2 linked regions of the Oryzias latipes genome follow. The protein of the gene in region 1 purifies or fractionates together with the protein of each later gene. This does not show direct contact. Links are inferred from orthologs where the notes say so. Each region holds a gene or a part of one and is shown in the gene's direction. Other genes may lie near its edges.

Region 1 (2,832 bases):
ATTATCCTTTTATCTTGTGCACCAGAGTATTGAGTGGCCAATGAAACACCCTGAGGCGTTTGTTCGTCTGGGTCTGTCACGGCCCCGGGGTGTGTTGCTATTCGGACCCCCGGGGTGTGCAAAGACCACCCTGGTTAAAGCTGCAGCCACCTCATCCAGCTGTGCTTTCCTGTCGGTCAGCAGTGCTGACCTCTACTCTTCTTACGTCGGCGACTCAGAGGCGGCCTTAGCTCAGGTCAGGCTCTAAAGGTTTGATATAGTCTGCGACAGATTTGATTCCTTCCTGCGGTTGGGTCCATGCGTGTGCTTCTGTCTGTGCATCTGCAGCTGTTTCGCCAGGCCCGCGCCTGTGCTCCCAGCATCCTGTTCCTCGACGAGATCGACTCTCTGATTGGCTCCCGGTCCACCAACGAGACACAGAACAGCGAGCAGACGCGTCTCCTGTCCGTGCTGCTGAATGAGATGGACGGGATCGGTGTAAAAACAACCGAGAGGAGGGGGGCAGAGAAGACTCTGCAGGCAGAGGGAATGACCAAGAGTGGAGCACAGGAAGAGGTCCGGCGAGGAAGAACCGTGTCTGAAAGCCTTCAAAGCTCCGAATGAGTCCTCATCTCATCAGCTGTGTTTTCTCTGTTACAGTTGGAGTGGGAGGAAGTGTGCAACAAAGACGTGATGGTTGTAGCTGCGACCAACAGACCAGACTGCTTAGACAGCGCCCTCCTCAGACCAGGAAGAATGGACCATATTATTTATGTGCCGCCGCCCGATCAACAGGTACATTTCGTATCTGAAAGCAGAAAACAAACAAAAAAGTGTTGAATCCCACATTTTTATTTCCAGTTTCTCCAACTACCTGTGTTGTGTTTCAAGGCACGGTTGTCCATTTTGAGGGTGTGCACAAAGCGGATGCCCATCTGTGCAGATGTGAGTCTGGAGGAGCTGGCGGATAAGACTGAGCTTTACTCTGGAGCAGACCTGGAAAATCTGTGTAAAGAGGTAAAACTGTCCCAGGCAACTAATGTCTGTCAACAAATATACATTTCTATGTTGGAGTTTGAAGGGAAAAGTAATCTAAGCCTTTAAAGATCCACTGCGATCATCTTTTGATGTATTGTAAAACCGTTCCCAGTTTTTTTAAATTATAATGATGCAGTTTTTAGCTAAAATTTAAAAAAATCTGTGTTGTTTTCTAGGACATAGTTTCTGCAGAGAAACAAAAGTTTATTAGAAATTTGCCTCTGAATCGCTGGTGAGACTGTTGGTGCCCCCTTCCCATCACCCATAACTGAGAGCTCTCTGTTTACATGCTTTCCTGCTAACTTACAGCCCCTCACAACTCCAAACTGACTTAACCGTTGCAACAAAATTGGCGATCTATAATGAAGGTATCCAGCCGTAAAGTTTTAAAACTGATGCCGGCTCAGATGAGGGCAACGGAGACGTGCGTGCACCTGGATGTTTCCAGGCAGATGCATCAGCATGGAGCGCAGCAGGGAGCTTGTAGCACATTGTCTACTAAACAAATATGACCTTTTTTATTAAAACAGCATTTTATTTGACTTTTTTGAAAAAAATTAAGAAATACTCACAAATGCAATTTTCAAGAAGAACATGTTAAAAACACTCAAAAAAAGACTTTGATCAGACTGGGTCTTTAGTTCCCCCTTTTGCTCTATCCCACGACAACAGAAAAAAACACTTATCCAGGCTTTTTCAGCAATGAATAAACTATCGTAATTATTGAAGGCTGCCTTCTCATCAGTGTCAGAACATCTCCCCATACACAGCTGTTTCATCCACTTCCTTTTAGTTTTTATTTTGCTTAATACGATTTAATTCTTAAACCATAAAGCAAATAAAATGTCTAAGTTTAAAATAAGTAATGTATTTAGTCTATTTATTAAATGCAAAGTCTTGATATGGGTGAAGCATACTGAGAATACGACAGCCGGGACAACAGCCATCACCTGCATTTAGAACGTTTTTGGTCTTGCTACTTAATTTTGAAAATATCTTACATTGTAACTCTATGTTCCTCAGTTCTACGAGGGCAGAACGAACCTACAGAGAAAGAAAAATACATGAAAGCAAAGTTTGTTTTCTGTTCCTTTCTTTTTACCAGGCTGCTCTTTTGGCGCTACTGGAGGAAAACATGAAGGCTTCAACGATCAAACGTGCACATTTTCTGGATTCACTCAGCAATATGAGGCCTTCACTCACTGCCCAGCAGATCCAAGCATATCTAACAACCCCCAGATAACATTACCCTCTTCAGTCATGGATGTGATACTTATAGGTTTCAAATAAATATTGAAAAACTCTGTTTAATGTGTTTTTTTTGTTATCTGTTACTACACAATTAGATAAGAATGCCATTTTAAAAGTTTCGGGGAGATTGACAATGAGAGCACTGCTGCCTGGTGCCGGAGCTTCAAGAGGAATTTCACACAGGACAATTGTTGGTTTCAGCATTCCCCATATCAAGACACTTATTAACCAGAGGTATTACAGTGTCAACTGCTGTTGTTGGTCCAACTACTACACTCACAAACTCTAATAACAGCACTTTATGATTATCTCTGCTGACCAGCCTAATAGACATGTTGGTGGCATTTACCCAACACTCCCCAAACCGCTGGCCAGCTCCTGCTTTAAGTATCACCATAAACTCAACGGACTGAAACCCCAAAAGCTAATTCTGCAATGATGGGACATGGACAAGCGACACAGAAGATGTTCAGGCCACTTTCAGAGCAACTTCCATAACATCAGAGAACCGTGACAAACGGATCAGCTTTCATCTGAAGCAGGGGTCTGCAGCCTGTGGCTCGG
Region 2 (3,344 bases), on another chromosome or scaffold:
TGACCCATTCTTGCTGTCACTCAGCAGCTGCTTTTGAAGATTAGAAGTTGCTGCTGTCTCAGCTGTCAAAATTTTGGTCAAAAGAGCCTGATCATGTTTTTCAGTTGATTTTTCCCCCCTCATGTTTTCTATTATACCCATGAGGAGGAATGCATAATCAAAGCTCGAATGACTACATTTCCTTTTAAACATTAAAGCAAGTCAAACAGCCTTATGTGACCTCAAAGGGTTATGTAAGAAAATACATAATATTCACATTTTTTATAACTGCTGGTGTCACTGAAGCCTCCTTTAACAAGCTGACTGGACCAAATACTTTCAAGCACAAGAGCGCTTAAGATTACGATTTTAAGAAGATTAGTTTAATGAACTCATGATTATAATCTGGATTTTATTTATTTCTAGATGAACTGTTCTGAAGACTGTTTGCAGTTGTGTGTGTATGCAAGCGTTGCTCCATAATTAGTCCAAGGCAGGCATGTCCCTAATCAGACCCCCCACAATTATTATTCAATGGCCCAGTGTTGCCATAAAGCAGTGAGAGAGTGTCCGTTGAGACAACACTAACCGTCACTTTATTGTTGCCTGCAGACTTGCATGTTTGTTCAGTCAAGGCAGGTGGTCTCCTCTGTGAGGTCATGGTGTGCGAAACATAAGGAGAGGAGTCTTTGGAGGGGGTCACCCTCAATCCCAAGGTCTGAGCACAAATCAAAGCAGGGACATCGCAGAAGGAGACGTCAGTTTTTATTTGAAATCATGGTAGGAGGGAACGATTTGTATACTGACATCTTATCTGCTGAATTGATAGTGAATTGGTCAAAAAATTTTAACATTTAAAACTTACACTGTGTTTAGTGCAATTGGATATAAAAATTATTAAAATAAACATTTGAACCCTTTTTTATTTTAATTAACTCAAAGTGTAGAAAATATTGAATTTGTAGATCAACATTTTTGCAATAGAATAATTGCATAAGAATAATGGAATAATAATAATAATTGCAATAGAATAATTACCACAAATAAATGTAGATCCTTCCAGATCATCCTTTGTATACAGTGCCTATGAAAAAATCACATACTCTACAGGTTGCATCACGATGCAAAGAAACAGCCTTCAGTCTGCTGACTGGGAAATTGTTTTCCTTTAGCGCCCCCTGGAGGCTAATCTTGTAGCACAAAAGGCATTTTCAGAATAATTGGTAACACTGTTGCTTTAAAAAAGCTTGACTCTTTAGTTTAAAGAGTTTACACAACACGTGTGAAAAGAAAACAACCAAATAAACAGCAAATATAACCAATTAACAAAAAGTTATTTAATAACCTAATGGTGACTGAGCGATTTACCAATTATAACTACATTTCCTATAATTGCTGATCTTCTTCGACGGAAATGACGTTTACAGACTTCCGCTACATTCAAGGGCACCGCAAAGTCCCGCTGGTGAAATTTAGCTACAACAACACACGTGTGCTGCCAAATACTTCACTAAAGTCGTGGTTTTGAGCTAGATTCGGGTGGACATGGACAGCTTTGGGTCAGACTTTTCATCCGGAGGTTCTGGAGGTAAAATGGACACCGGAACCATCATGGAGCAGGTTAAAGTCCAGATCGCGGTAGCTAATGCACAAGAGCTGCTGCAGGTAAATCAATGGCTGGAGAGTTACTAAGCTAGCAGGGTTTTAGCCTGCGATGGTCATGTTTATATAAACTGATGTTTCTTTTACAGAGAATGACTGATAAATGCTTTAAGAAGTGCATAGGTAAACCTGGGAGTTCTCTGGATAACTCTGAGCAGGTATGTGTGCGTGAGCTTAGCCTTCTAGCTTTGTAGAATAATACACCATGTCTATATATTTTTTACTTTTTTTTTTAAATTAGAACTAGTGGAACCCTAGAATTAATGTGACTTCCATAAAAGTGTAGCATTCTCTAATAATGCTGTTCATCTGTTGGTGTTTTTTACAGAAGTGCATCGCCATGTGCATGGACCGATACATGGATGCCTGGAACACTGTATCCCGGACGTATAACTCCAGACTACAGAAAGAAAGAGCTCGCCTGTGAGCCTCCTTCCCGTCTGCCTTCCCCTGCTGTCTGTGAGGATCTGCTCGGTGCTCCGCTGGAGGTCACAGGCTGTCCACACAGCAGCAATCTCTGCCATAAAACCTCCATGACAGGCAAACAGAGCCTGTGGACTCCTAACCATATTGGTGTCTCTGTGGACAGTTTTACTCTATATTTGAGGGGAAAGTCTCTAAAGTTTCATTATTCCTTCCTGTAGGTTTTACAGCTGTAGTGCTCATAAAACAGGGAAGTTTGTCAAAATAACATGGTGTCACAGATTGCTTGGACATTAAAGTGCAGATTTAGTTTTTCTGTTATAAGCATCCATAAACATGACTCTTTATTTTATTTTTTGTAAATCCATGCTGATGCATATTTAGTTTGAGTTATACTAAAATAAAATAAAAACAGTACACTATTGGTATAAAGTTTTCCCTTTAATGAATTTATTGAATCCTTAAAGTTTTTCTGTAAAAATTCTTTTTACTTCATACAGGCAGTGTTTTTTTTGTATGTCGCAGAAACGTCCACATTTCTTTGCAGAAAAGTGGTTTAGCAGGCAGCCATTACTGCGTAGCAAGTGACTCCAAACTTCATTCATGCTGCCCTTTTTGTGTGTGTGTGCAAGAAACCCCTGCTTTTAATGTTTCCCAGTGAGATTAAAAACTTTTTTTTCACTCTTTTGATCATGGATTTCAGTTTAATAAAAACAGATTTGATCACAGAAAAAAAAACAGCATTTTCAGTCATCAGGAAGACTGAAGGTGAATCTCAGTTTTTTGACATTCACAAGCCTGCAAACAGCCTGATATCAAAATACAGCTGGAGAACAAAACCGTTCTGTTTGACACGTTTTCTAGGTGTCACTCTATATCCCGGCCTCCACAGTGGGGGGCTTGTTCCACAGCTTCGCTCGAGACCCAGCTGCAGTTTGCAGGACAAACTCGGTCCTCTTTTTCCTTTTTAGCAAGCAGACTAAGAGGAATTACTTTCAACAGCAGAAAAAAATAAAAACATTTCTTTTATGTTTATCGTCAATAAAAGCATAAACGTTACAGATGAAATAACATAAGCTGCACTTATCCATCTCAAGTGAAAGAAAATAAATATTTAACCAGAAAAATGCACCAAGAAAAAAACAAAGTACACTTTTGCCCCCGCCAAAAAAAAAAAAAATTGGGGGTGAATTCTGAGAGTTTTTTTTTTTTTTAAATAGTTCATATTCTGTGAGTCATAATGTAATGTTTTGATTGCAGGAAATCACGTGTCTAAATGC

The links.
Region 2: the proteins of spata5l1 (region 1) and timm13 purify together in Homo sapiens (co-immunoprecipitation; 3 studies listed by BioGRID and IntAct, with this or other methods). This does not show direct contact. The link is inferred for Oryzias latipes from reciprocal best matches to the Homo sapiens genes AFG2B and TIMM13.

The regions. Positions count from the first base shown.
Region 1 is NC_019861.2:12,896,531-12,899,362, forward strand, and holds the end of spata5l1 (spermatogenesis-associated protein 5-like protein 1), read left to right. Parts: intron 1-25; coding exon 26-235; intron 236-327; coding exon 328-555; intron 556-639; coding exon 640-774; intron 775-870; coding exon 871-996; intron 997-2,122; coding exon 2,123-2,260; 3' UTR 2,261-2,323; downstream 2,324-2,832. UniProt on the Homo sapiens protein: ATP-dependent chaperone part of the 55LCC heterohexameric ATPase complex which is chromatin-associated and promotes replisome proteostasis to maintain replication fork progression and genome stability.
Region 2 is NC_019862.2:8,256,215-8,259,558, forward strand, and holds timm13 (mitochondrial import inner membrane translocase subunit Tim13), read left to right. Parts: upstream 1-1,395; 5' UTR 1,396-1,524; coding exon 1,525-1,644; intron 1,645-1,730; coding exon 1,731-1,799; intron 1,800-1,969; coding exon 1,970-2,068; 3' UTR 2,069-2,748; downstream 2,749-3,344. UniProt on the Homo sapiens protein: Mitochondrial intermembrane chaperone that participates in the import and insertion of some multi-pass transmembrane proteins into the mitochondrial inner membrane.